4 linked regions of the Notamacropus eugenii genome follow. The protein of the gene in region 1 interacts with the protein of each later gene in a pairwise test. Links are inferred from orthologs where the notes say so. Each region holds a gene or a part of one and is shown on either strand. Other genes may lie near its edges.

What was found.
Region 2: the proteins of CREB3 (region 1) and CGRRF1 interact in a two-hybrid assay, tested with the Homo sapiens proteins (2 studies listed by BioGRID and IntAct). The two-hybrid records come from large-scale screens. The link is inferred for Notamacropus eugenii from reciprocal best matches to the Homo sapiens genes CREB3 and CGRRF1.
Region 3: the proteins of CREB3 (region 1) and MS4A1 interact in a two-hybrid assay, tested with the Homo sapiens proteins (2 studies listed by BioGRID and IntAct). The two-hybrid records come from large-scale screens. The link is inferred for Notamacropus eugenii from reciprocal best matches to the Homo sapiens genes CREB3 and MS4A1.
Region 4: the proteins of CREB3 (region 1) and ABHD16A interact in a two-hybrid assay, tested with the Homo sapiens proteins (2 studies listed by BioGRID and IntAct). The two-hybrid records come from large-scale screens. The link is inferred for Notamacropus eugenii from reciprocal best matches to the Homo sapiens genes CREB3 and ABHD16A.

The regions. Positions count from the first base shown.
Region 1 is NC_092872.1:79,291,631-79,299,334, reverse strand, and holds the start of CREB3 (cyclic AMP-responsive element-binding protein 3), read right to left. Parts: upstream 3,008-7,704; 5' UTR 2,898-3,007; coding exon 2,847-2,897; intron 2,743-2,846; coding exon 2,605-2,742; intron 2,463-2,604; coding exon 2,294-2,462; intron 2,155-2,293; coding exon 2,084-2,154; intron 1,910-2,083; coding exon 1,817-1,909; intron 1-1,816. UniProt on the Homo sapiens protein: Endoplasmic reticulum (ER)-bound sequence-specific transcription factor that directly binds DNA and activates transcription. Plays a role in the unfolded protein response (UPR), promoting cell survival versus ER stress-induced apoptotic cell death.
Region 2 is NC_092872.1:333,873,147-333,880,880, reverse strand, and holds the start of CGRRF1 (cell growth regulator with RING finger domain protein 1), read left to right. Parts: upstream 1-4,727; 5' UTR 4,728-4,856; coding exon 4,857-4,960; intron 4,961-7,734. UniProt on the Homo sapiens protein: Able to inhibit growth in several cell lines.
Region 3 is NC_092873.1:12,243,017-12,249,968, forward strand, and holds the start of MS4A1 (B-lymphocyte antigen CD20), read left to right. Parts: upstream 1-3,950; 5' UTR 3,951-4,115; exon of another isoform or gene 4,116-4,144; intron 4,145-6,952. UniProt on the Homo sapiens protein: B-lymphocyte-specific membrane protein that plays a role in the regulation of cellular calcium influx necessary for the development, differentiation, and activation of B-lymphocytes.
Region 4 is NC_092873.1:85,377,847-85,385,703, forward strand, and holds the start of ABHD16A (phosphatidylserine lipase ABHD16A), read right to left. Parts: upstream 3,021-7,857; 5' UTR 2,931-3,020; coding exon 2,799-2,930; intron 1,663-2,798; coding exon 1,606-1,662; intron 787-1,605; coding exon 720-786; intron 504-719; coding exon 417-503; intron 1-416. UniProt on the Homo sapiens protein: Phosphatidylserine (PS) lipase that mediates the hydrolysis of phosphatidylserine to generate lysophosphatidylserine (LPS). LPS constitutes a class of signaling lipids that regulates immunological and neurological processes.

The sequences.
Region 1 (7,704 bases):
TTTCTCTGCCACACTCCGAATAAATGGGACATCCAATCTTTGAAGACATGACAGGACATACTAACTCTCAAAGCAGCTTGTACTACATTTGGACAATATACCATTAGAAAGTTCTTAACTTAAATCAGAATCTGGTAAATGTCATCTGTTGGTTTAATTCTATTGCCTGGGACCAAGAACAAAAAAGAATCCCTCCAGCTAATGACTGTCCAAATGTGTAAAGACAAGCTGTTATTCATCTATACACACACCAGCTTCCCAATGGCCTTCCTAAACTATGGTTCTTAGATCTGAAGATGATGTCTTCTAAATGTGCCCTGGTCAGGGCAAAAGGACATGAGGACTAATAATGCAACTTTGGATCACTGGCTTTTTTTTTTCTGATTTGTCACACTTTTGACTTACATTGAGCTTGCTAAAATACCCAAGTCCTTTTCACGTAAACTACTATTTTATGTCAGAGGCCTATTCATTGAATGGGTGTATCTCACTCAGAGTGAGAATGTGATAAGACCTTGGCTTAAAAAGGTCAAGGTCTCACACTGCATTCTGAGCCATCTCCAGTCATCCTGATGAATATCTGGTCACTGGACCCAGATGACTCAGGAGAAGAAAGTGAGGCTGGTGACCTTGCCCAGCCCTCCCTCACTCAAATCAAAGTCAAGTGCAAGTCATGTCATCATCTTGATGTCATGGTCCTCTTTGAGAACGAAGGACAAACAACTATTTTATATATCTCCCATCCTAAATTCACGAGGTTGATTTCTTTGAGCCCAAGTGTAAGACTACATTTATTTCTATTAAATTTCATCATCTTAAACTAGGCCTGCTGAAACTATTTAGGTTATTGATCTAAAGACTAGCCCCCTGCTAATAATATTAGCTATCCCTCCATCACTGAAAATTTTGTCAAGAGGTCATCTGTGCCTTCACGATATTGAACAAAAAGGCCAAGGAGACAGCATCCGAGCACTCCACTGGAGTTTTCCCTCCAAGCTGAGTTCATTCCAAATTTACCTATCTGTACTATTGTATCTGGTTCTATCTCCCCACCTTATCTAAAAGGCTATCAAATGCCATGCTGAAATCTAGATATCGTGTCCAAATCATTATTCTGATCTACCCATCAAAGGAAATGAGTCTAGTCTGGTCATCATATTCTTAATAAACCCATAATGACTCAGCCTAACCATGGGATTTTTCCATCTGACTAGCAGCTGAAAGCTTCCGTATGTGTTGTCTCCTCTATTCAAAAGGTGAATTTCTCGAAAGCAGGGGCCATCTTCCATTTGTACCTCCAGCACTTATTTAATCATTCTTTCATTCATACGTACTGATCATCACTTTTAGATTCAGTTTAACAGCAAATGCTATAGCCACCCTATTCATCAACAAGCATTTATAAAGTGTTCACTATGCTCCAGGCGCTGTGCTTCCTTTTGGAGGATACTATACTTTTATTAATGCTTCCCAGAATGTCTTAGTTTTTTTTTTAGAAACCACTTCACCGTGCTGTTTCATATTGAAGCAATCAGCTAAAATCATCAAGTCTTTTTCACAGCAATTGTTAAGAAACATCTCCCCCTTTCCTATATTTGTGCAATTGTCCTCTTGAACTTACTTGGAGTTGCCATTTCTAAGTTTAATCATATTAGCTTGGGCACGTTGTTTCTGTTGAGGTATTTTGAAATGTGATTCGGACATCTGGAACATTAGCTATCCCAGGTTTGTTGCCCATAAATTTGAAAAGCAGACCTTTTATGGCCATCCTCAAATGGTACCAGGCATGATACCCGTGACCATGAAGGAGTCTCACCTTAGTAAGGGGGAGAGTCTCAGGAAGGGTCAACCCTTCTTTCTGTAGCAGCCTCTTCTCTTCATCTGTCAGTATCAACTGAGGAAACTCGTGCTGGAGAAAACAGGAAAATGACATGTGACAGGGAGGGACCAAGGAGTAAATAAAGTGGGAAGAAGACATCTGGAGCTTGAGGAGAGAGAAGTGTGGGGTTGATCAAAGCATCCTGATATTATCAGAGGTGATCATCTCCCCCTTACTATTAATGTTTGCCCCTCCTCCAGATACCTGCAGTGTCATTTCTTCCATCTGCAAGGAGACCCTTGATTCTTGAGCCACATCTCTGAGACCATCATCATCTGCAGGAGGAAAATAATTAGAACCAAGAGCCCTGGGCTCCTAGTTTCATCCCCCTTTCCATGTCCCTCCCTCAGAATCCTCTTTCTGCCTTCCCAGTCACTACCTACCCGCATACATGATTCCCCTTTCCCAGCTTACCCAGGTCAATGTAGACATCATCTTGGGAGGAACCTTGTACATTCCAGCTCAGAGAGTAAGTGTGATCAGTGTGAATGAAGCTGTAGCTAGGAGGACTTGGGAGGGATGGTGAGGTGGGGGGTCCCAGCAGAGACATCAGGAATTCTTCTGCTTCCCACTCATTCAGCACCTATACAGCCACTTAGTTCAGAAGCAGGCCTTGCTCCTCTCCTCCCAGCTTCCTGTCCCAACTCTCCTTGGAATCTCTCCTCTTCATTTATAGCACCACCATTACCCCAACCAAGGCTAAGCCTGGCCCAGCCCCTACTCACCTCAGGAGGCAGCATCCCATCATCCTGCTGGTCCTCTTCCCTCTCCCCAAGGATTTCCCATAGATCTCCCCCTTCCTCCTTCAGGAAATCCAGCAGGTCGTTGTCACCTGGGTCCAGGACAGGCTCCATGGTGGACATCTAGAAGAAGGAGAAGGAATCACCATCCGCATCCTGATCCTCTTTTCCCCTCCAAAGGGTAGAAGGTGAAAGGCGGTCAGTCAACATTCATATTAAGCCCTTACAATATGCCGAGCACAGAGAATACAAAGAAAAGCAAAAGCCGTCCCTGCCATGGAGGAGCTCTGTCTGTTCTCTCCGGCCCCCCATCATAGAGCCCCAGAGGGGGGACGTTGGAAGCAGAGGGCCAGGGTCGGCCCGGCCCTGCCCCGGCCCCAGCCCCCCCCCCCCACACACACACACCCCGCCCCCCAAAGCAGAGAGCACCGGCACGCCCTCCCACCTACCCTGGAGGGCTGGAATGGCCACTTCTCCGCCTCCTCGGCCAGGTTTCCAACCCCACCCCTCGTCTGCTCCCTTCCACCTCTACGCGAACTGGCCAAATTTGGGGTTCTACTTCCCCTCGGGCCGTCTCTCCCCAGCCCGGACAGCCTCTCCCAAACCCGACCCAGCTCCAGCCTTCCAACACCACAAAAATGACGTCAGCCAGAAGGCCGCGGCATGCTGGGAGATGTAGTTCCCCCACGCCCGCCCGGATGTAGCCCGCACTCCGACTGCTGTCATGTATCCCCGAGCCTCGTACCCCTCGCCAGGCTTTCCGTTCCTGAGGTCGATCGGTCCCGCTCTGTGCACACGCAATGAGTTTTCTTTGTTCGTTTAGGTTTTATTGATGCCTTTCGTTTCCTGACAGCCACCAGCCCCCTCCATTGAACACAGGCGGGGAGCAAACACCACGTTCCGCACCCGTGGCCCCTCACCTCTGCACCAACAGAAAGTGCGGTCGCGACGTGAATCGGCGGTCAGGTACTTTCGAGGTGGTTTACAAAGGTGTGAGTGACGACGTGTTCGCTGTCCCCGTGACCACCCACGCACGCCCTTCGCAGACCGCTGAGAGCGCCCCTCCCTGCCTCTGTCACACACACACAGGGGCTTCCCGCTGGCCTCCCTGTCCGCGCGTGTCCCCAACTTTCCCGAGCCCACGCGAAGGGCGTGAGCGACCCCCACGAGCATCAGAGGGCAGGCGGGGCCCTTCCCTGGGGCGGAGGGCGGAAGGGGGAGCTCCCGGGTCTGCTGGGGAGACTCACACATGACACATGCCCTGCAGACGGAGGGGCTCGGTCAGGCCGGGAAGTCTCGGGGAAACAGGTGGGTCCGCTTTCGTCCGCCGGGCTCTCCGCGGGTCTGGGGCTGAGGAGGGGGCGAGAGGCGGGCTTCCCGCGGGGCGCGCCTCCCGGGCCCCGCCCCCCCGCCAGGGAGGCCCCGCCCCCCCGCCAGAGCAGCCCGCAGCACAGCGAGACGGGGCGGAGTGCGCCTCGGGTCCGCTAGGCTGCGCGCGGTAACGGAGCCGCGGCCCGCGCCGCGCATGCGCCGCCCTCGCTGCAGGGGAAGTTGCCCGGGTCTCCGGGCCGGCTCCCAGGCATAGAGAGCGGGGGCCAGAGCAGCTTCCTGCAGCAGCCAGGGCCGTAGAGGGGCGGGCCCAGGGCGCCGCCCACGGGTGGGGGGGACGCGCTCCGGGGACGGAAGTGGCGGAGAGTTCGTCAGTCGGCGGGAGGGCGAGGCCGGACCCCGGACCCGGGAACCTGGAGAGCGAACGAGTGAGTGACCTGGAGGGCGGGCCAACGAGCGAGAGGTCCCCGCACGGCCCAGGTAGGGCCGAGGCGGTGCCGAGCGCGGGGCGGGACCAGGAAGGACGGGACGGCGGCGGGAAGGGGCAGGGCCGGGCGGGGGGAGGGGACTGGATCCGGGGGAGGGGGCCCGGCCGCGGCGGAGGGTGGGGGGGGGGAGGGGGAGGGGGGAAGGCAGGGGTCGAGCGGAGGCCGCAGCCTCGGTCCGCAGCCAGGGCGGTCAGGGTGGGCGCCGCCGCCGGCTCCCTCCTTGGCCCGAGAGGTCAGGGTCCGGGTGTGTCCATCCTGCTTGTCCAGCTGCTTGGCGGGCGGAGTTGTGGTACCCGGGATGCTGGGGGGCGACAGTTATGGGGTAGCGGGGCGAGGCTGACGGGCCTGGGCTGTAAAGCTGGGGTTCGGGAATAGGGGGGAGCGGATCGTGGGGACGGGGGAGGTGAGGCGGGCCAGGACGGGGGACCCGGCTGGGCTTAGCGGGGTGGGGTGGGGCAGATCGGGAGGGCTCCAAGGCCGGGTGGGAGGGTGTTCGCTGGTCCGGGCTGCGGGGTCCGGAGCCGGGATGGCGTGCCTGGGTTTGGCGTTGGCCGGGTAGGTTCGGAGATGCAGGCTCAGGTGCGCCCCAGGTTTGGGGGAAGTTCGAGTTAAATGGGGTTGGAATTTGGAGCCGAGTATCCGATGGACGTTGGAGGTGTCCTGAGGATAACAGGAGAGATGTGCTGGCCCTTACTGGTTATTGAGATTGTGGGGCGACAAGTATGGAAGCGCTTCTTCTTGCCGGGTGCTGTGACAAGCCCTGGAGGCACAGAAAAAGGCGAAAACAGCGTCCCCGCCCGAAAGGAGCTCGAAGTATGATAGGGGAGACAGCGTGCAGACGTCTGTGTGCGGGCAAAATAGTGCGGAGTGATGGAGGATAATCTCAGAGCGAGGCATTGTGCAGTGAGAGGGCAAGCAGGTGGGATTTGAGCTGAGGCTTGAAGGAAATCAGGGCAACCTGGTTAAGATTTAGGCTCATGACAAATAGGCAAGCTCTACACTCAGGATTTTTGTTTTTTAGATCACTGTTAGAATACAGAGGGCAAGTTACGGCTAATATTAGGGATAGCATCAGGATTCACAGGTTTGGATAGTCAGGATTAGTTTGTGGGTCAGTGTTGGGGATTGTAGGATCATAGGTTTAGAATTGGAAAGGGTTAGTCAGGAATCAAATTAAAAGTCAGGGGTAGCACTTGAGTTTCGGGTCTGCATTACGGATGAATTTATCTTCCAAGAATCAAATTAGGCTTCAGGGATTAGGAATGGCATTGGTGTTTGTGGAGGGCGGTTAGCCAACCATGAGTCAACTAGCACTTGATAAGTGCTTGCTGTGTGCCAGACTTTGTGCAATGAAAAATACAAAGAAATGCAAAAAAGAAAATCTAGTTCCTGCCCTCAAGGAGCTTACATTCTGAGGAGGAAGCTTCATGAAATAAGTACCTAAAGAAGATATATAGAGTGAGTAGGAAGACCTCTGAGAGGGGAGATTACTAGCAGCTAGGGGAATCTGGAAAGGCCTACACCACAAAATGGAATTTGAGCTGAATTTTGAAGAAAATAGAGAAAACTTAAGAGTTGGAGGTAAGCAGATAGAGCATTCCAGGCTTGGGGAACAACCAGTGAAAAGGCAAGGAAACTGGAGAACAGCTAGGAGACCAGGCTAGCTGCGTGGTAGAGTTCACAGAGAAAAGACTGAAAAGGTAAAAACTCTAAATGCCAAATAGAGTTTAGATTTGATCAGGGATCCAAAAATTGGGATCATTGTTAGGATGAAAGGATGTGAGTAAGGGTTAAGGATAGACGTCAGTAGTCAGTGATTGGTTCAGGCATCATTGGTAGGCCATTGGGAATATCTACTAAATAATGATTTTCCACTTAGGGTCAGTGTTTGAAGTCGTTAATGTTAAGGAGATGAGAGTTAAAGGTCAGTGATTTTTTTCAGAGTCAGCATTAGGGTTCAGGAATTGGGTTGAATGTTTTGGTTAGTCATAGGTTAGCATTAGATTTAAATGGTTAGGAATCAGAAAGAGAGTTAGCTATTTGGACTAGGCTAGAAATAAGTCCAAAGGTTTAGGATTAAGGGTCAGGGTAAGAGTGAGTCAATGATCAGATCAGAATCAGTATTGAAGTTCAGGGATTAAATTCTGAACTCAGGCTTAGGATCATGGTCAGTTTGAAAGATCGTGGCCTACAGCAGTGCCTCAATCACGAATTGAGTTTAATTCCCCTAATTTAGACCATTTGTCCTCATTTCATTTGTAGTTATCAGAGCATCAAGATCCCCTTTGAGTGGGGAACTGTTGCTCCAGACTCTTACTTCTAGTTTCTGACTTAGTGTCCATGGTAACAGGGTTTCAGATTCTAGCAAAAGGCCATTCCATACCCAAAGTCAGTGGTTTCAGTGCTTCCCAAGTGGTGTGAGGGATAGAATGGGAAGTATTTGGTGGCACGGAAAGGGCAAGGACTCATTGCCTTCTTATTTGGAAAAGTATTACCAATTTGTCTGTGGGGTGGGGAGTAGGTTGGTCAGCCCTGAGGTAATAAAAAATGAGGTATGTTTGAGAATGGCTTTGTGCCCAGAAAGTTCAACCCCATTTTTCCCTCATTCCTTAGTCACTTAATTCCCATCCCCCTCCCTTGGGCCTGACTAGGCAAGAGGGTGGGAGATTATGACTTCCTGCTTTTCACATCCTCCTTGACCACCACCACTCCACCCCACCCCCATGTCTGTGTATCTATTTTTTTTGTTTATTTTTTTTTTAAGCAAAAATTCCCACCAACTTAACTTCCCCCTGGGTCCCTTACCATCTGCTGAGTCCCTCAATCCTGGATATGCTCTGAGCTCCCCTACTCTTTCAATTTGGCAATTCCCCAGTTATGAGCTTCTTCCAGTTCCCTGGTCGGCTCATAGATCTTCCTCCTCCCTCCCCAACAAGAAAAAGGGAAATGAGGCCTGAGAAGGAAGCTGGTCTCTGCTGATCACATCCCCAGCCTGGCCACTGACCACACCCAGGTCTTACCCTGAGCTTGGCCCAGCCACTGACCCCACCCTGATCTCATTCCTAGTTTGGCCAAGGAATTGACTATATATATTCTGATATCATTTCTACCCTTGGCAAGCCACCTACTCACTGCACTGTGATCTAACCCCAAGGCCAATCCAGCCACTTAATGTATTATACTCTCCCCAGCCTCTGGCCTCAGACCATCCCCCTTAAGAGATCTAGCTGGATAATCCAAGGTCTCTTGAGTCCTCAACTTTGTGAGG
Region 2 (7,734 bases), about 250 Mb from region 1:
TTTGAGAATTTCCTATTGGTATCTTTTGTCCTTTATCTATTGGGGGAGGTTCTAACTAGATCTCAAAGCATCTTAGCATACTCTCAAGCTGGGCACTTCACAGTTCACTAGCCTAGATCTCTAACCTAAGTGACTTTTAGGAGGAAAGAATTGGCCCCAGCTAAATAATGAGCCCTTTCTCTCAGGCTTAGTGAAGTGCTGCACCCCACTTCTCCCCCTTTTCTTTAATTTTCTGGACCAGTTTAGCATTGCCACATTGGTGCTATAGGACTAATTTCTGACAGGTCACCAAGGCTTTTAAGTGTGGGGCTGAGCTCTTATTTCAGGCCCATATATATGTCCTGCCTCTTTCAGTCTGTTCATCTACTCTCCTGCAGAGACCTTTTGTAACACAGAATGTTACCAACTCTACATTGGGTCTCCTGTCTTGAACCCAGCAAATTTCTGCTACCTGGAGTGTTACCATGGTGCTGCTTGTCTGTTGGGGCCTGAGCAAACTTCCATAGCCTAAAACCAGGATCTCCATGGCACTGGAAAGGGAGAGGGGTACCAGGATATAGCACTGGGTTTTATTGCAATCCTGTTCTGAGTCCTTGGGTACTGTTGCAAGCACATGTACTGGACCTCAAGGCTGGTAAGATCATGAGTGGTAAAGGAGGGAGTGCTGAGTGAACTCCAGTACACCCCTCTTTCTGATAATTTGTGTGTCCCATGAATGACAAGATTTCTTAGCAGGACACTGTCATCTTGTCAAAAGTCCTGACAATGAAAAGGAACATCATATCTTCTTTTCTTTCTGATGATGTAGCAAGGTGTAATTTTTTTAAAATTCTCTTTCAATCTGAGAGACATTCTAGTCATGAGTATCTGTTGTCTTTCTTTCTCCTCTGATACCCCAAAACACAGGTCAAAAGGTAGATGTGGCTGACACTGAAAAAATAGGTATAGCATAATACAAATGACATTATTCCTGGTAGAGTTGGTTCCTGGTTCCATGGAGATTTTTGTTCTGGTTTCAATGTCCCTAATATGTTTATCTGTGTGGTTGAAATGTTCCGATTATGGGTCCCCTTGATGGTAAAATATTTCCTATATTTCTTGATGTAAGTCAGAGCCAACATCTCTTTGAGTATTATACTTTAAAAGTCACCACCTCGGTCTGAGGAGATGTTTGCAGGAAGTCTATCTGCTGAGAAATATTTCTCCCACAATATTTTCACAGTTGTGGAGATTTTAAGGTTTTGTATTGGAGATGCTTCACTATGCCTAGTAAAGCAGTCTATCACAACCAACACATGACTTATGTTCTTGTTATCTCCTTCCAGCAAAAGAAAGTCAATGAAAGTGAGTTCCAAATGTTTTTTAGCACTTATATTATTCAAGTAAACCATATGTGTTAGTAGTACTTTGCAAACAGTGAGCAAAAGTCTCACATTTCTCAGTGATATCCATATTGGATCAGTAAATTATCTTTCTTTCTAGCTCTAGAATCCTTTCTTGACTCATATGTCCAAAATCATCACATAGAGCTTTCATGGCTGTATATGGCTTGGACATTATCAACTGGTTCCTGGTCCTGTGAGTGAGATTAATAACAGAGATGACCTCTAAATAGATAAGCAAAGAGGTATATGACTGTTTGTTGTTGTTTTGCTGAGAGGCTTAGCCTCTCAGTTCTCTCCTATCCCTGACTCATACTGGCTATATGACCCCTGACATATTTGACCTCTTAGAGCTCTAGGCAACTTTCTAAGACTTCTATGAGGAAGTAATAACAGTACTCCATTGCACAGCTCTAACTTCTGTCATTGTCTCAATGATACAGTGCCATTAGAAGACTGACTCTTGAGTTATTTGACAATGCCACCTTAAGAAGTCTTGGCTTGTATTACTTCACATAGCCCTTTGTAAATTTTCTGTTCCCTTCAGATGATCCACAGGCAACTGAGGCAATGAAAGTTGGTTCAATGAAATAAGATTCATATATGCTGCTGGTATGCAATCTGGACCTGGTGGGTTGATTCATGCACACAACCCATATCCCATTTATCCAGTGGAAACACATTTGTCTCCAATGCCACTTCTAGGTACATTACTCAGAAACCTCTCCTCTTTTCAGGTTCACTCATTCCATATATATCACTCAATTAAAATTCTGATAGCTGTTTCCCAACATCCAGGACACACCCCTTCTTTTCTCAATGAATTCAGTGCCTGGCTTACAGTCTTTCTCCTCAACTTTTGTCCTTATTGTAGGGGACTTTAACATGTATTTTGATACTCTCTCAAACACCCTAATTTCATCATTCTTCACCTTATTGATTCCTCCATGATCTACCCCTTCACAGGTGCTCCATCAGCCACCACTACACCATTCATATGTGGAACCATCAGTTACAACAAATGGAAAAGTTTTGAATGCTGTGGATAAGTTCACTTACCTTGGTAGTGTACTTTCCAGGGATGTACACATTGACAATGAGGTTGAGGCACACATTGCCTGAGCTAACTCAGTGTTTGGGAGGCTCTGAAGAAAGGTTTGGGAGAGAAGAGGTATTAGACTGACTACCAAATTGAAGGTCTACAGAGACATTGTGCTGACCTCATTGTTATATGCTTATGAAACATGGACAGTCTACCAGTGTCATGTCAGGAAACTGAAAAGCTTCCATTTGAACTGTATTAGGAAGATTCTGAGGATCACCTGGCAAGATAAGGTACCAGACACTGAAGTCCTTGCTCGAGCTGAACTGCCAAGTATTCAAACTATGCTTCAGAGAGCGCAGCTCTGATGGGCTGGCCACATTGTTCGAATGCAAAATGCACGCTTGCCAAAAAGACTATTTTATGGAGAACTTGCAAGGGGCAGGCAATCACATGGTAGCCAGACGAAATGACACAAGGACACTCTCAAGGTCTCTCTCAAGAACTTTGGATTTGACTGTGCAACATGGGAGACACTGGCACAGGACCACGCAGCATGGCGTGCCCACATAAGAAAAGGTGCTATTTTCTTTGAGCAAAGCAGAATTGAGACAGCACAAAGTAAACATAGGATGTGCAAATGTGGAATATCCACCCAAATATTCACATGGACTATCTGTGCCCAACCTGTGGTAGAGCATTCCAAGCTTGTATTGGTCTGATCAGCCATAGTTGGACACACTGAAATTTCACTTTACAATGGTGATGTCATTTTGGTCCTCTTCAAAGGACAACAACCAATCAACTCCACCCCATCTCAGCCCCCCACAAATATGGTTACATCCTTGATCTTGCCAACACCTACAAATGCAGCACTTCCATGATCACAAACTCTGAAATTCCTTTGTCTAATCACAATCTGTTGTCATACTGTCCTGCCTCAGCCACACTCTGATTTCCAAGCTCTTTTCTTTTCTAGACCACCCCTGCACTAGTTACACTACCTTCCCTTCCTCATCTTGAGCAATGGTGAACCAGTTCAACTCTATACTTTCGTCTTCTTTTGAGTCTCTTGCCCCATTATCCTATCACTGATCTTGCCCTGCCAAGCCTCAGCTTTGCTGCTACTGAATAAAAATGGAGGAAAACACAAAATTGTGCTGACTGGATGCCCAGAAATTTATGTTATGTAACTTCAACTGAGCCGTTACTATTGCAAGGCAATCCTTTAACACCTCCCAAATAACTTATTATCTGGTTCACCACAGGAGCTCTTCCAAATTTTTCCATCCCTCCTCAAAATTCCCATGGCTAGCCTTGCCCCTACCTTCCTAACTGAGGACTTTGCCTCATATTTTACTGAAAAAAAAAAATTAGGGCCATTTGAAAAAAAATAAACCTCCCTTTTCTCTTCTCTTCATCTCATATCACCCAGATGCCTTCTACCACTATTTCTCTCTTCATCCTAGTATCATATAATGATGCGGCCCTTCTCCTTGCCAATGCATAGCTCTCATTTCATCCCATCTTATCCAGAAGACTGCCTCTCTTTCATTCTCACTCTCACCTGTCTTCAATCTTTGTCTGTTTTCCTACTGCCTACAAACATTCCTATGTCTCTTCCATCCTCAAAAAACCCTCAATCGATCCATCCCTCCCCACTAGCTTTTGTCCCATGTATCTCTCCATTTTGTGGCTAAATTCCTTGAGAAGGCCATTCACATGAATAGGTGCCACTATTTCCTTTTCTTTCACTCTCAACTCACTACAGTCTGGCTTCTGACCTCATTCAACTAGAACTGCTCTCTCCAAAATTATTTACGATCTCTTAATTGCCAAATACGATTGGCCTTTTTCTCAGTTCTCACTCTTCTCCACCTCCCTGCAGACTGTGACAACGTCCATCATCCTCTACTCTAGTTCTCCTAATTATTCTTAGCCTCCCTGGTTGTACTTTCATCCGGGTTCTACCGCTGTGTGTCCCTAGAGATCCGTCCTGAGTCCTCTTCTCTTTTCCCACTATACTGTTTCGTCGGGTGATCTCATCAGCTTCCACAAATTCAGTGATCATCTCTGTGCTGATAATTCTCAGATCTACTTATCCATGTCTAATCTCTCTGCCGGCTTCCAGTCTCCCATCTGGAACTCAACACATCCAAAACGGAATTCATTATGTTCCCTCGAAGTCTCTGGGCTCCCTCCACGCTACCACTCACCAAGGCAAAAGGGGCGGGTCTCTCACGCAATCAGCGTTCTGATTGGCTCCCAGACTCCAGCTATTCCGATTCCGGGGCTTCACTTTTGTCAACAACGCAGGAGAGCGCGAGGCCAGCAGGTTTGTCCTCGCTGGCTTCCCATAGTCCGCAGGATTTCCGGGATACTTCAGTCGGGCTCAGGGCTGGACAGGGCTGGGATCCTGGCCGAGGTTACCGATGGCTGCTGTGTTTCTGGTGATGCTCTACGAGTATTCACCACTCTTTTACATCGCCGTGGTCTTCACCTGCTTTATTGTGACCACCGGCCTGGTGCTGGGATGGTAAGGGCCTGGGGTAAGGGGGGAGCCGGCTTCTAGGTCGGGCGCGGGGGACGTCGTGGTTACCGGGGAGGGGATGACAGCGGGAGGAGGCCAGGGACGCGGCCCCAGGCTCGGGGGGAGTCCTCGCTGACTCGCCTCCGCCCGACGGATAAACACCCCTTAGGCGTCACGGGCCGTAGGATCCCCACGTCCTTCCCAGGAACGTGAAGCAATAATTAGCATTTCTAAGTGCTTCAGAAACGTACTCTTTAGGCTGAATATTGAATTTTTCTTTTTGTCCCTTATTTATCTGGAAGGTTCGTTTTTTCCCCTAAATAAGCGTTGCTGAAATTCATTGAACGGATAATGATTAAGTTCTTCACAGTGCACATAAAAAAGAAAGAAAAAATAGGGATCTCTCAAGTATCAATGCAGTTTAGTTTGAAAGAGAATGCAGAACGCAAATGAAAATGTAAAAACACCGAAAGGAGAAAAGAGTTTGCAGTGAGTTCTAGGAAAATCAGCCCATATGAAGAACACTTTTATGTTGAAACTGGAAGGACAACAGAAGTGTGAAGTGGTACTGGTCCTGACTGGGATTTCTTTAACAATGTATTCTAACTGGTTACATAAAAGAATGATCATGTTTGGACTGTTTTTCTTGGTGTACAATGGGAGGGAGTTACAGTGGCACTTGAGATGAAGTTGGAAAGGGTGACTGGACCTGACTACCTTACAGACAGAAGAAACCCAAGCTGGAAGGGGCACAATTTTAAAAGAGTGTAAGGGCAGACTTTTCAAGATCTCTCAGAGGATGGCAAGCTGCTGAAGTATGAAAAAGATTAGAGATGATAAAGTAAGAGAGAAGGCATCAGATACTACTTGCTCATGTGCCTACTTTTCTTATCTTTAAAAAAGATCTTTGATAGTATCTTATCCTTATATTGAGGGTGTCCTTGATAATTAGAAGAAAAAAGTCAGCTTTTATAGCTGACCACATCTTTATAGACTCACAATTGACCTGAAAAGCATATAGAATATATGATATCACTTTAACTTATTTATTGATGTTTGAAAAGCATTTCACTGAGTAAAATGCTTATAGCTTTAAGGACTGATCTTTAATGAAGTGTCTCCAATGCACACATTAAAATTATATAATTTTAAGAGAGCTGTGAATACCAAAATAATTTTGTTCTGTGATAGGATTTTAACATTAAGTGAGAAAACTGGGAGACATATGTTTCCCTAAGAGGTTTTCCACTGATGAGGAAAATGCCCAGTATAGAATCCAAACAGAAGTTTTTTTATTGTTGATCTTGTCCTTCAAATGATTTTAAAGACTTAAAAGGGAACTCAAAGATCATGTAGTCCACAGCCTGTACCATTCATATTTTGCTAAAGATTGCATTACGATGAAACCTTAAGGTCCTTTCCAATTCTGATATTTTGTGAATACAGTATCATACAATATCCTTTACAAGTATCATCTAGTTATGTTACTGGCAAAATGTATGAATAGCTGGGGAGCTTTCCACTACTTTTCTTTGCCAACCTCAAAGGAATTATTTGACAGAAATAGACTTATTACAACTAATTTCACATGATGACAACTCTCCACTCCTCATCCTGAACAATATGAAGAACTCATGAGAACTTTGATACCTGGAGTTCTCATGGTACTATGACTCTACCTGCCATTGTGAGCACAAGTTTGTGACTCAGTCTGGAATGTGCTCATATTACCCTCCCACCACTACACCCTAGGTCCCTTACCATCCCTGCACTAGAGCTGGAAATGTTCAACCCTCTCATTTAACAGATGAGGAAACAGTCCCAGGAAAATTAGGTGATTTGCTTAAGGTCACTCTAGTGATTGTCAAAGGTAGGATTTGAACTGAGATCCTTTGACTCCATAATCTGTGCCTTTCCATTGTGTACCATGCTGCTGGAGAAGTGGGGAGAGAAAGAGAACCAAAAGACCAAACTGTCTAAAAAGGGAAAAGAAAAAACCTCAATAAGAGCCCAGTGCACTTGAAGATAATTCCAGTAGAAAAGTTTCTAAAAAGAGGAAAAAAATGAATAAAATCTCCCCAAAAAAACCCCAAAGTACACTTAAATTTTATGATATCATGGTAAATGAACCAGTAGTGCCTGATGAAAGAATCTTGTGGACTCCCCAGAGATAATGGGATAACAGCAAGAAATTCAAGAATGGTTTCAAAGAAAAATAAAATTACTTTAAAAAACAACAACAACCAAATAATCATTTACCCTCAACTTGAAGACCTTTCTCACTCCTCACCTCCCTTAGCAGAAAACCCACTATCCTCTGAAGTAGCCCCTCCTACTTATAGTTGGTGCTGATTTTTATGAAGTTTATTCTTCTAAAGAAATCTGGCTCTCTGCAGTGTTTCCCTTTTTTTCCACTTTCTGCTCTCAGGCACCAAGTAAAATAAATCTGATCTTTCTTATATATTTGATTTTGATTATCTTTGTTTCTCTAGGCTAAAATTCTTAGTTCCATTGATACTCATATATCATGCCCTCCAGTTTCCTCATTTCCTGATCATCTTCCTTTGGATACTCTACAATTTATTAATGTTCTTCATAAAGTGTGATACCCAGAACTGTGCACATTATTCTGGATATGATCTGACCAGAATAGAGTACTTCAGGACTTTTACAACCATCATTCCAGACATTAGAATTATGCTACTACAACTTAATATCACATTAGCTTTTTTGACTGCCATGTCACACATACCATTGACTCATCTTGATCTATGTTGCAG
Region 3 (6,952 bases), on another chromosome or scaffold:
AAACCTAGGGTACAGGTAATAAGGCACATTTGAAGGGAATACATATGGCCAAGGAAACTCTTGTAGTATCTCTCATGGGCAAGACCCTCAACTAGGCCCCTTGGTTCTTCTCTCTGCAGATCAACTCATATTAAATATGTACATACATACATACATACATACATGTATATGTCTCCTGATGTTTTATTGAAGTTATTATTATTAGGCCTGAACTATAAAGAACTATGCAAAAAGAGCTAAAATGATGTTTCCTCTTTACCTATACCGTACTTATTTCCTCAATTTCTTTTTCTCTTATTGCTAAACTTAGCATTTCTAGAACTATATCAAATAACAGTGGTGCAAATGGACAGCTCTGCTTGCTTTTGATCTTTTTGAGATTAAGTCATAAAATTCTCTCTGTCTTACTCTGTTAAACTGAGAATTTTATATTTTTGTAAATACAGCTGTTAAAGCTTTAAACTACACTATGACTTTTGGGATACCTTGCATTCATCCAATTCATTATGAGTTCTGTTAGTACATAATTGAGCAAAACAGTTTATAATTTCCTTTATTTCCTCTTCATTTCCTATACATTCCCCTTTTAATTTTTTTATATTATCAATTTGGTTTGCCTCTCTTTTTATCAGATTATCAGAAGCTTATTCATTTTATTAAGGTTTTCTTCCCTCAAAAAAAAAAAGGCAAACCCAACTCCTAGAATGATCAATTCAATTTTTTGTTTGACTTTAAATTGTGTTCTTTTGTGTCTTGTTTCCATCAAGTACCAATTCTCAATTAAAAAAGTGGTGAGTCTAGATTTATGTGTTATTATGTACTTACCTGGTCCAGGAGGGAGGGGTCTTGAGGACTTGGGCACAAGGCAGTTGTGAATGGCACAGGGCATCCAGAAGCTCACACTCAGTACCATGGAAGATATCTTCAATGAATGCTACCAATGCTGCCACCATTTTACGTCAAGTCCTGAAATAAATCAAAACTATGAGGTGAGGAATAAAGCCTCTTTAACTGAGATAACAGCATAGCAAACATGCCATCCTGGGGGATGTCAAGTGGACTTCCCAACCAAATTGACTCATGAGAAAGTTTGTATAGTTTTAGAAGGAGAGAGGAGAAGACAGTATGAGGTAGAAAAGCCTGGTCATGAAACCCCAGTGGCTCTTGGCAATTTGGGTAAGGAAAACCACTTCATTCTGGCTATTTTGCCCTTCATGCCATAAATTCCAATGGCTGAGATCCAGCTTGAGCTGGGCTTCCCCCAAGGCAACATCCCTGGGTTGGGGCAACCTAAGGTGTGGTTCAGCTCAACCTAATTCAGACTAAATATCTTAAGAGTTGGTATATAAGTGACAGTAAAATTGGGAAGCCAATTGAGTTAATGTATGGGAAAATTCAGGCACTGGGTTGCTTTCAAAGACATGGTCTTTTCCTTTTAGGGGTCTAGGTTCCTCTCCCATCATAAGAACATTACTAGAATTTTGACATTGTCATGATAAGAGGTTTAGACAGTCCATATTACAATCAGTATTAATTTTCAGTCATTACCTTAACAGTTTAATCATTTCTTTTTTTTTCACTGTTTTAGTTGCATGCTGAATTTATTGATTTGTCCTTTTTCTCTTTTGTTGATAAGTGTTTAGAGATATAAAATCTTAGAGATACAGAGATATAATATGCTTCGGCTGCATCCCCAGAGTTTCAGTATGTTGTCTCACTGAAGTCATTAGGATCTCAGCATAAAAATGTCCAACACAGAAGTGACTATCTTCTCACATCTAAAGCTGCCCCTCCTCCAAAAGTTCCAAGGTCTGTTGAGAGTATTACCATCCTTCCAAAGTGAATTTAAAATCTTAACATTGTTTTTCCCTCCTTCAACAGAAGAGTAGACAGAATAGGAGGAGGCTGGAAACCAGAAAATCCTGGGTTCTGAGTCACATCTCAGACATTTCACTAATGTGATTTGGGCAAGACACTTTGGCAGAAAACACTCTGCCCTAATTTAGTCCCTTCCGCTCCCTTGTCTAAATCATCGGATCTTTCGGACTTTCTCTGCTTCCCATTTCTTATCTCCCTGTGGACCTTCCCTACAGCTGCAAGATGAATAAGGCACAGTTAGTCCATGTCACCTGGGCCACAAAAATGTTCAGTGTCTCCCCATTGCTTTTACAACATGATATGATTTCTGCTGGGCATCAGAGGGCCTCTACAGTCTGGCTCTAACCCTGTCTTTTCTTCCAGACTTGCTTTACCTCATTCACTCAAAGGCCCTGCTTGTTCTAGCCAAACAACTGACTGCAGTTACCCAGAAATCGACATTCCTCCTCATACCTCAACACATTTTCATCAACTGAAATTTCCTTCTTCCTTTGTCCCACCTATCCAAATCTTTCTCTTCCTTTAATTCCTCTCTGGACTTTCTTCAGGGGTAGTCCAATGTAATCCCAATGTTTTCCACCTATGGGAGTCATTTTCCAAGGATCTCAACCACACACACACACACACACACACACACACACACACACACATATGCATATATAGGTCACTAGTCTTAGCTGTTGCCTCTTCCTGCTGGAAGCTTTCTTTAATACTACCAATTGCAAGCAGCTCCTTCATCAAATTCCGTTGCATTCCCGATATTTACTTATCTGGGTACAGGCCATATCTCTAAATCACCAAACCACTGCCACCTACCCCCACTCACCAGATGCAAACTGGAGGGCAGGGCTATATTGCTTCTATTTTTATACTTCAACCACCCAGCAAAGTTCTCTGCATATAATGCAGTGCTTTATGAATAAATAAATTATAATAAATCCTTGACTGGCAAATGTCTATTAAGTTTAACTTGACTAAGTTCTAAAATTATCTAGGGAGTGCCTGAAATGTAACACCTCATTCCGAGCACATGGATTTAGCATATGTATACTAAATTTAAGACACTACTAAATTACTATTCCACAATTAGTAAACCATATCTTTCATTCACAACATATCAGACCTATTTTTCAGTCGCTTACTGACACGGGAATCACTATTCCTGAGACACCACTGAATGTGGGGAGTAGAGCAACAAGTGAGTATATCCATTCACTGATTTCCTCTCTGTCAGGCTGCTACCATGTAACATCCCATGAAAAGTAGGATCGAGGGATGTTCTGAGAAGACTTGATGCCCGCACATACACACACAGACATAAAAGCAATGTCCTCGCTGGAAGTTTCCTATTCCAGTGAAATCACAAGGCTGGTTAAAATCAAAATCTCACATGATGCTTAATAAAGTGCTTGTTGAACTGAACTGAATGACTTTACACACCTGAAAGGGAAGTACATGGAAATACAAGATGGCTTATTATGTGGAGCCCAAGGAAGAAGAGCAGAATGAGTCATCTGATAACCTTTTTTTTCTAATAATAAAAATTAATAATAAAAAAAAATCTGAAGATCCTTTGATAGGAGTGTGCTGTAAGTGTTTAACATGCTAGGGTGTGGGGGGAGACTGCAGGCAAGACACACCTTTGAGTTGAATGTGCATTATTCACATTTTCTCCAACACTTTCTAAAGTCTGCACAATCAACAAAACAAAAAAAATGAGTCCAGATTTGTAACTAATTTCTAAAGGGGGCTCCAATACATACTCTCCTTGGATCCCAACTGCAGAGATACTTCTTCCCCACCAAAATGAAATGAAAGGGAAAAGTGGCATCCTGCAGAAGCCATTACCAAATTGCTGGGGATTCTCACAAGCCCTTTCTCTCCCTCAGGGTCCCCATTCTACACCTGCCCTCTGGGTGGGGACTTCAAAGATCTTCTAATTCAGGCCTGGCACAGCTCCCCAGGGTCCCCCAGGGAATCCCTTTCAGGAAACGAAACTAAGATGTTTTAGGATGTTTCCATTTGCAACATCTTCTGGGGTGGCTGGTGATCGCAGGGCATGGGACGAGGGGGACTACCGCTGGGTATTTCCTGCCACCTGCTTGGGTTCAGCTTAGTCTAGCCAAGGCCTCCCCTATTTGCTTTCACACCTACCTGCAGAAGGCTGGCTGACTAAAGGTTCCTTTCTTCGGCTGCTCTGACCCCATCAATTGGACAGTCCCAACAGGACCCCACAGGTAGGTGGCCTTATCCCCTTTAACTCCATCTAAAAGTATCAAATGAGAGAGTTAGTGTGGCCCAGCAGATTTGATTAGGGATAAGGAATAAGCATCTAAATCACCTGTGTTGGCAGACCTTTCCACCTTTATCCTCTGGCAAGTGAGAATAGATTAAGAGCAATTGGGAGATGGCAGAAAGAGCTCCATACTGGCCCAGGGAGGCTCTGACCTATAGGAAAAATCCCACACTGATTCTCTGGGGGGCCTTGGATCACTCAGAGCATTAGTTTACTGACTGTTAAAATCAAGCTAATAAAATTGGTGTGGGGAAAAGCACCTAATAAACCCTAACGCAGACAGTCAGCAAGCATCCAGCACCTATCGTGCCAGGCCCTGTGCCAAGCCTAGGAGATATGATGAAAGGCAAAAGCAAAAAAAAAAAAAAAAAAAAAAACCCATTTACAAGTAAGCTTCCAGTCTAATTCAGGGAGAACACAGAAAAACTATTTACAACCCAAATAAAGACTGAATAAATTCAGAGAAATGGAAATGAGAATAAGGAGGAACAGAAAGGCTTCTAGTCACTGGCAGGATTTTAGTTAAGGCTTAAAGGAAGCCCAAAAAGTCATAAGGCAGAGGTGAGGAGGAAGAACATTCTAAGCATGGGGGACACTGGCAAAAGTGCCCAGAGTCTGGAGATGGAGGGTCTTGCAAGGGACAGCCAGGAGGTCAGGGTCACTGGATCAAAGACAACACAAGGGAAGTGAGGTGTAAGGAGACTAGAAACGGAGGAGGGGATCAGGGTATGAAGGTCTTAGAATACCAAACAGAGCACTATATAGATTGTTATATACAGAGAGATTGTTATATATAGATTGTTGTATATACATATATATATAGAGAGAGAGAGATTGTTATTTTTTCCTTCAGTGTTGTCTTAGATCACTGTGAAACCTGGGAAAGAGACTTCGTAGAGCTATGTGACTTTTAGTGGGCATAGGCAAGACCCCAGCCCCAAAATGTCTGTTATTCCTCTAATATCATTACACAGTATCATTGGATTATACCCCTAGAACTGGAAGGGACTCAAGAGGGTCCTAGTTCAACTGATGGCCAAGGAGGTTTGGGGTTCCATCAAAATGTTACTATCCACAGGAGTAAAGTTTGACCCGTTCACCTCTTCATGAGCATTAACAGATGAAGAGCCTCCCTGAACAACAGAAGCTAGACTCTACCTGAGGTGGAACAGGGGGAGGGCACCAACACAAGATGTCAGGGATGTTAAGAATCTCCCAGGCTGAGTCTAAAATCTTGGTTTTGCACCCAAGGAAGTGACCTGCATAAGGCTATAGAGAGCAGACTTGAAGTCAGGCCCACAGCACCCCCCCTGTTCTCACAAAGTGGCTGCCACCTTCTGTAAAATGGCAGACCTTCCCTATTTAACCCAAGCACAGAGTAAGACTACCCCATGGGAAACTGATGGGATAGGGACAGAGAGAGCTGTGGAACAGGCATGTCCTGCATCCTGACATCAGACCATCTAGGGCCTGCTGTAGAAATGTATCTATCTCTCAATGCAAAGATACCTTGCTCTGTGTGATTTAATTCCACACAGAGATCAGTTTTCCTGGTGGCTTGGACCATTCCACCACAAGTACTTATCAAGCATTCTATAGCTTATTTCTATTTAATACCCAGGGCAGGGGGTATCAAGGGAGGAGGCATATATATGTCAAGGGATGGGTCTCTGCCTCATCCCATAGTCATTCACTCCAGAGGCATTTATTCAGCATAGTAATGTTTGAGGAACCACTGTCCCCTGCCATCTAGGAGGGGATGCCCTGGATAGCTGCCCTACATAGAATTATAGCCCTTTCCATTCATCATCTCATTTGATCCTCACAAGAATACTGAAGAAGATAAAGCTTAGAATAGGTGATCTCATAGCCTGGGGGAGATGGAGCCAAGTCAAGGATGGGACACAGCACAGGTTGGTAAACTGAGACCATGGGCTCAAATTCATCTACCTCCATTTGCTATATGTGTGACCTTGGGCACGTGACATCTCCCCTGGAAAACTGAGCTATCCGGGAGACCTCAAAGCTCTACATTCTTTTGCTCCTATGGCTCTGTTTTTATCTACAATCCCAGCTCCACAGGACTTTGTCCTGTTGTTTCATTGGAAGCTTACAGTTTGGCTTTTTGCGTTTATCTTAAAAAGTCTCAGTATAAAGCAGAGGTTCATCACCTTTTGGGAATCATGGTTCCCTACGGGATTATGGGGAAGCATATGGATCCTTTCTCACAATAATGTTTTTAAAAATCATAACTGAAAGAAATACAAACTTCCAATTACTAAAAATAAAGATGTCATTATTTTCCATCCAAGTTTATGGTCCCCATGAATTTATCCATAGATACCTTGGAAGTCTGTAGACCTCAAGTGAAGAACCCCTAGAATAAAGGTTCATTTTAGGATGCACAATTTTTTAACATAAAAAAAAAAGTTGTACTGATACAACCATGTCACTGGACACAAGCAATCTGCTAGTTCATGAACCGGAGCTAGGGCTCTTTGGAAGAAACCAAAGCTTATAGAAATGAAGAGACCTACCCAGCTAATGAATGACAGGGGCAGTTTCTAAAACCCTTTTCTGATGTTTTCTTTTCTGGTGACTGAAGGGAAACTGAGGGAGGCTAAATGAGCCTCCTAGACAGGTCCTTCCCCCCTCCCCCAGAAATACCATCCCATGCAGGCCAATTCAAGGATGTCTGAGAATAAAAGGGGATGGTCCGGGGGAAGGGCCTGGGGCCACAGCTTCATTTGGGTTGCTCTGTGAAGGTTTCATTCCCCC
Region 4 (7,857 bases), on another chromosome or scaffold:
TTCACACCATTTCCTTAAAAACACTTTAATTAAATTAGTGTCCTCATTGTCTCCTAAATTTATCATTTGCTATCTTACCTCCATGCTCAGCTCATATTTTTTTCCAGGGACTATAATGTCCTCCTCCACCTTTTTTCTTTCCATTTTTCAAGGTCCAATTCAAACTTTATCTTTTCTGGGAATCTTTAGTTATAATCTCCAAACAATACATTCATCAACTATACCACTCATTTGTCATGTCATCTTTTCATTCATTCATCTGTGTTTTATCTCCCCAACAAAATTCTAAATTACATGAAGAATCTTACTTTGTGCTCTTCTGTATCTCCCCTGCCCTCCCCCGCTCCCTCAACTCTAGTACAGGAGCTAATTAATATATATCTGCATACTGAATGTGCCTATTTTGGACCACTCACCTCGAAGACAGGCCACACCTGCTAGGAGCAGTAGCAATGTCCCAGCATAGTGAGAAAATGGCACCACCTTTGACATACACAAGTAACCTGAGAAGAAAAAAAGAGCTGAGTTCAAGTTCTGCTTTCATCCATTGTTCCTCCCCCTCTATTCAATGGCTAATTTGGGGCATTTGCTTACCATTCTGGGGAGCACTGGCTATACCTAGTAACAGAATAGGGTCCCTTCTCCTAAGACAAGTTTCTCCATTTAATCAACATCCACACCACTCCAAACCCCAACCAACCATTTAACCCCACACTGACCTTTCCTGTAAAAGTAGAAGAAAGCCAGGGGGGAGGAATAATAAGAGATGGACCAGAGGACTGAGGCCTACAGTAAAAAATGGACAAATGGACAATCAGCTTTTTTTTTGCTTTGTTCTGACTGCTCCCCCATTTCCAACACTGGATTCTGACCAATCTGGAGAATGAGGCATACCATACTGCCAGGAAAAGTAGGTTGGAACACCACATTGGGGAGAGGAAGTTGAGGAGTGTGCTTTACATATCAGAAAGTTAGAAAGTATGTTTCATTCTGCCAGAATACACTCTTCCTAGACTGATTAAAAATGGTGATGAGAAGGCTAGAAGATACTATGCAAACTACCATACAGGGAAGTCAAAGAGTGAACGGAAAGGATAATAAAAAGAGATACATGGGAGAAAAGGGGTAGAGATAGATAAGTGCACTGGGGAAAAAATGCATTTCCCCAAGTCAGACAGCCTCAAGAATATGATCTGCTCAAACTTAAAAAGCACAGTCCTTCTTTTTATACAATTTGTTTGGAGGTTTTCCATCATTGCTACTTGGTACATTCTGGTCCCCAAATAACAGTAGAAATGCTAACATGGGAACCCTAGTGGAGAGAAGTGCTGTTATTGAAGCAAAGGAAGCTTGGTTACTTGAGGAGACAGGTCTATGGAGACTGTAGTATTCAGTACCTGGGGAAGGTCCCAACTGAGTAAACATGTTTTCCCTATGATCCATACTGTCCCAGAGGAAGCTGTATGGCATCCCAAATGGGGAGGTAGAACTCCTCAGCTGAGGCTAAAACCCTTTGCTCAGAATCTAATCAGTCTTCCAGACTGGGAAGGGGAACATAAAAAACGACTGGGTCTGGGGAGGTAAGAGTGCAGAGGACCAACTCACCAAAGCCAGGATGCTGTCAGCATGTTTCTCCAGGGCCCTGGGCTGATAATAGGACTCCTGCAAAAACAGCCCAGTCAGGGTCCCTTTTCTCCCATCTTACCCCAACCCCAGTCCATTTCTCTTCCTTTTAGTGCCTCAGCTCCCACTATTTTATCATCCCACCTGTCTGCGGCCTCCACCTCCCTTTGGACCCCCAGGCAAAAGACTCCAGATGTGGGTCTCCTCGCCCCAGAGGACACCACCTCAAGATCTGGCTCCAATACTCTCTCTCTCCAGCCCTCATCCCAGGGACAATCCAAGGAATTAAGACTATAGAAGAAAGCAATAAATGACTTTTGTCCTCTTTCACAACTCTCTTCTAAGAAATGGATGAAACCCAGGCGCTGGGAGGGCAGAATGAGAAAGTGCAGGCGAAAGGGCAAAGCGTACACACTATGACAGGAGAAGGTGAGGATCTTTTACGAAATCGGAATAAACTGAGAAAGCCTGAAAATGTAGTTGTGATTAGAAAAAGAGACTGGGGAGTCTGTGAGAATGGGCACAATAAGGGAGTAGATATAAAACCTCCCCCACTTCTGAAAATAGAATTGCTCTGTGGGTCTCTTATGGTCCAGTTGAGTGCCCCCCCACAATGGACAGAACCATCACTGCTGGGGGGGGGGGGGGTACCGATAAAGTTGATGGGAAGTCATTTTGAGAACGAAAGTAAGAGCTTAATAAAGGGAAGACACACATGAAGACAGAACAGGACAAAGCGACAGCTCGAGCCGAGACAAATGAGTTTTATGGCAACCCCCATCTTCCCACCCCACCCCTTTTCCCATTTCTAGAACACACCCTTCTAGGGTCTTCCTGGCAGCACCTGGGGTCTGGCATGAGCCATGACAACACACATGGATGGGGTGGGGTACTGTACGGGGGAGTGGGGGAGGGGGTGTAAATAAAAAACGCAAACAAGATAAATGAAAAACAGGAGAGAAGTGAGTGGATGGATGGAGAGAAAGGAAAAAAGGCTCACACCCACAAGCATTTAAGTTTACACAGTAAAGACCTAGATACGCAGTATTTGGGAGAAATAAGCAGGTTAACGTGCTCCCCCTAATTCCAACTATGGGTGCTTCCGGGGGGCTAAAGCAGCAACGGGTTTGGGCCGTACCATGACTCCAGCCAGGGGAGAGAAATAAAGGACTCACCCAGGAGCCAGCCGGGGAGGTGGTGATGGCGGCCGGAGTCCCAGGAACGCTAGTCTGAGTCCTTCCTGAGTCTCTCTCCCGGTAGACCCGGTAGAGCCGGGGGCCTAAGACGCAGCTCAGCAGCTTCGCCATCGCCCCGGCTCCAGCCGCGGCTCTTCCAGCGGCAGGTTCCCCCCCCCCCCCCAGTCGCCCCGCCTTCCCCCAAGCCTCTTGGGTGTGCGTGCTCTCTTACGTCACCACGTATAGTGCTGGCGTCTTCCTTAAACGCGCAGCACGGTCTTATTTATCAGTTCTGGGAGGTAATTGGCACTGCCTGGACTTTCCTGGTACGGGAGACTTAGCGAGGAGAAAGGCTTTAGGAAAAGCCTGGACTAGGCGGCCTGGACTTGGACTTGGACTTGGACTTGGAGCTATTCAGCCTGGCCGCGTGCAGGGCACTTTATAGGTGCTTTGATGGGTACAAAGTTTAGATTAAGCAGGGCTGTGTGCTGGGCAGTGTACTAGGATCTGGGAAGGATACAATGTTTAAGTACGGCTGAGTGCAGAGCTATTTGCTGGGTGCTGGGAACAATAGAAAGTTTAGAACAGATTAAGTTGTGCTGTGTACACAATTGTTTGCTAGGTGCTACGTAGGATACAAAGTTTCAAACTAATCTTTAGGCACAGTTTTGCTCCCAAGCCCTTAAGCACTCCTTGACTAGAAAGCTCGAGCCGCCTCACCTCCTCTTGGAACCCTCTGTTTCCTTCAAGTACCATTTTCTACTTCTGGGGTTCCCTCTTGGGGTCTCTGTTCCTCCTAGGGGTACAGAGAATATTTGAAACATTTCAATAGTAGTAGTAATAGTGAAAAAAGTTATGGATTTGAAAAAAGAACCACGAGGCAGCATGAAGTGGGTGGGAAAAGGTATAGTACCTTATCTGAAAAATGTGTAAGAGACAAGGTGAAGGAATAATTTCTGCTAACCAAAACCAGGTAAGTGAAGTTTGGAAAGGAAATCTTTTTCATATCAAGTACGAGAAAAATCTAACTTCAAAGAAATGCAAGCTAATTAATAGTCATCATAACCAGAAGCACCCAAATGGTTTGAAATTAATGAAGGTACAAAAAATTTTAGAATACTCTCGAAAGTACTGTGGAGGAAATTCTAATTTTTATAATAATCGACCTGACATTGGAATGAATATACTAATAGATTAGATTTCTCAGAATTGGTTTTTCCAACTTGTGAGTTAAGACTCACAAGCAGCTTGAACTGATCAAACTTTGACAAGGCTGACAATCACTGGCATCCTTCTGCCTGCAAACGTAAAGTGCATCAAAGACTGTAGAATGTGTGCCCCACAGAACTCTTTTCCTGTGATCCACGAAGTAGCAACCCGCCAAGGACTTGAGCAATATTGCTCCCACCTGACTCCAGAATTGTATTGTCTTCCATTTGTGGGTTTGTCATGGGATACTATTGTGGCCCTGGGAAGGATTGTAAACCACTTTCTCACCTCCTTTCCCATTTGTGATTTATGTATATAATCTGTCTTCACTGCAGCAAGGTGGAATTCTGATCAGAATTCCTGATTTGCAATTCATTGTTCCTCACCATGAAACTACTTAATTAAACAACTGTCTTATTACTGGTACTTTTTCTCTGATCTGCTGTTTGTCATTCTCAAATTAGAGGCTAGCTCATTAAAATCCTGTTAAGAGTACATATCATGTTCTTTTTTAAAAAATTAAATTATTTTATTTGTTTGTTTGTTTTCAGTATTCTACAATCACTTCCATATATCTTGGATTTTTTCCACTCCCTCCTTGGAATGGCATACACTTTTATATGGGTTCTACACATATATTCCTTTTAAATCCATTTTCACCTTAGTCATGTTGCACAGAAGATTAAAATGAATGGGAGAAATCATAAAACAAAACATAATACAAAAGAAAATGGTCTGCTTCATTCTGCGATCAAATTCTATAATTCTTTCTCTGGTTGTGGAAGTCATTTTGTCTCAAAAGTCCATTGGGAATTTTTTAAGTCCTTGCATTGAAGTGAAGTACTAAGTCTACCAGAAAAATTCCTCGCACACTGGTTGTTACTGTGTACAAAGTTCTCCTGGTTCTGCTCCTTTCACTCAGCATCAGTTCATATACGTCTTTCCAGGCCTCTCTGAAGTCTTCCTGTTCATCATTTCTTATAGCACAATAGTATTCCATTACATTCATATACCACAACTTGTTCACCCATTATCCAGTTGATTGGCATCCCCTTGATTTCCAGTTTTTGGCCACCACCAAGAAAACTGCTATAAATATTTTTGTACGTGTGGGACTATTTCCCATTTTTATGATTTCTTGGGGATATAGTCCTAGAACAATTTTTGTAGACCTTTGGGCATAGTTCCAAATTGCTCTCTAGAGTGGTTGGATTAGCTCACAACTCCAACAACAATGAATGAGTGTTCCCACTTTCCCACATCTTCTCCAACATTTATCATCTTCCTGTTCTGTCATGTTAGCCAATCTGATAGGTATGATGTGGTTTCTCAGAGTTATTTTGGTTTGCATCGCTCTTATCAATAGTGATTTAGAGCATTTTTTCATATGACTATAGATAGCTTTAATTTCTTACTCTGAAAACTGCCTGTTCATATGTTGGGGTCCTCTAGACCATTTCAGGAATCCCTAAACCCCAACCCAAGGCTCTTGTCCAACAAGAGGCCTTGATCTAGTGAGTAATGAAATGAGGCGGGAGACAAGGTAGTGGGAACTCCGTTTATTCCAGCTAGCTCACATGCATATATAGTCTTAATTACATGAACAGTCCTAAGCCTATACATTGAACCTATCACCTAATATTATTCCTTATATGGGTGTCTTCTCCACTGGACATCTGGAACTGGACAAAGAACTGCCATGTTGCCAACAAAGACAAGACCCTTCCTCCTGAAATCCATCTAGTTCCACCCCTACTGACAAGCCCCCAGGTTATCTAGGCAGGCTCTCAGTGTGGCGTCCTGCGATGGACAGGGGTCGACTCTAACTCGTCCCGTTACATTCATATCCTTTGACCACTTATCAACTGGGGAATGACTTGGGTTCTTGACTTAGTTCTCTATGTATTTTAGAAATGAGGCCTTTATCACAGATACTAGTTACAAAAATTCTTTCCCAATTTTCTGCTTCCCTCCTAATCTTGGTTGCATTGGATTTGTTTGTGCAAAAAGTTTTCAATTTAATGTAATCAAAATTGTCCATTTTTATACTTCATAATGTTTTCTATTTCTTGTTTAGTCAAAAATTTCTCCATTCTCCACAAATCTGATAAATACACTATTCCTTGCTCCACTAGTTTGTTTATAGTATCAGTCTTTATACCTAGATTATGTACCCATTTGAACTTCATTCTTGTGTGCAGTGTCAGGTTGCCCAGTTTCCCCCACTGTTATCCATCCAGTTTTCCCAGAAATTTTTGTCAAACAGTGAGTTCTTATCCCAGAAGCTGGGGTCCTTGGGTTAACTACACATCACATTCTTACAGAAAGGTTTTTAATTTCAGTTATATCAATTTATTTTTGTGAATAAAGAATTCTCTGTCCTGATCCCAATCCAATCCAAAGCAAGAAACAAACTGGAGACTAGACATGATATGCAGGTATCTCAAAAATCATAACAAGGATAAAATTTGGTTGACAAAAAAAACAGAGCCAGGCCTTACTATTTATATGACTGTTTAGATAAGTATTGAACAAGTCCATATAATACTAAAAAAATGCTACAAAAGTTTTTCTGAAAAATTGATACATTTTAAGTCATAAGTAAAGATATGGTAACTTATTTATTTCCTTTCATTAAATATGGGGTACAGGAATGCTTACTGAAAATTAAGGAGTATAGAGGACAAAAAGAGTTGGAAACCCATTTTATATAAAGTCTTTCTTGGCCTCCTTGGCAGTTGATGTCCTTCTTCCTTTCCATAATCACCTTTTGTTTGTTTTGATATATACATGCTATTACACCCATTGGAATGTAAGTTTCTTGAGCGTGGCAACAGCTTCCATTTTGCTTTTGTATTCCCAATGCTTGGTACAATGCATGGACCATAATTAATAAATGCTTGTTGCTTGATTGAAGGGGTATTGAATACATACAAATATAACTTGGAAATGTATAGGGCATTTGAAAAACTGTCTTTCCTGATTTGGGCACACCATATGAGCATGATGAAGCACTAAGGGAGGTTGGTACTTTTAGATAATGTATCAATCCTCTTATTGATCACTAAGAAGGAAGAGTTCCTGATTGAGTGGGTCTTTAGAAAGGGGGTGACTGGATCCTTCAGGGGTGGAGCCAAGATGGCAGAGTAACAGCATGGACTTTCTAGAGCACTGCCCCCAAGCCCAGCCAAATATCTGTAAAAAATGTCTCTAAACAAATTCTGGAGCTGCAGAACCCACAGAATGAAGGAGTGAAACAAATCTCCAGTCCAAGACAGCCTGGAAGGTCACCGGGAAGTGTCTATCGCATCACACTGAAAGCAGAGTGCAGTCCAGCATGGGCCATGCTGGCACAGACAGAACCTGAGCAGGGCTTGGGGAGATTGAATCTCTCATACCTGTGGTGGTTTTGAGACTTCAAAATCCCAAAACACTGAGGATAAATTGGAAGGTCAGTGGGAAAGAACTGTGGGACCAATGCAGGAGAGTGGAGTGGTCAGGCCCCAGCCCTTGGACAGCTGAGGGGGAAGGGGCAAATGAACCTGCCATAGCCACAGCATCAGCAGAGCAGTTGCAGGCACTGTTTCTGGAGCTCTAGGACCACAGACTGTGGGAGGATCGAATAGCTGACAGTACATCCCCCACTCCCACTGGAAGCAGAGAACTATCTTGACAAAGAGCTCTGAAGTCAAGTAAATGACTGAGGAAATGAGCAAAAATCAGAAAAAGAATCAGACTCTAAAATCTTACTTTGGTAACAAGGAAGACCAAAACATGCAAACAGAAGACAACAAAGTCAAAACTCCTCCATCCAAAGCCTCCAAGAAAAATATGAATTGGTCTCAGGGCA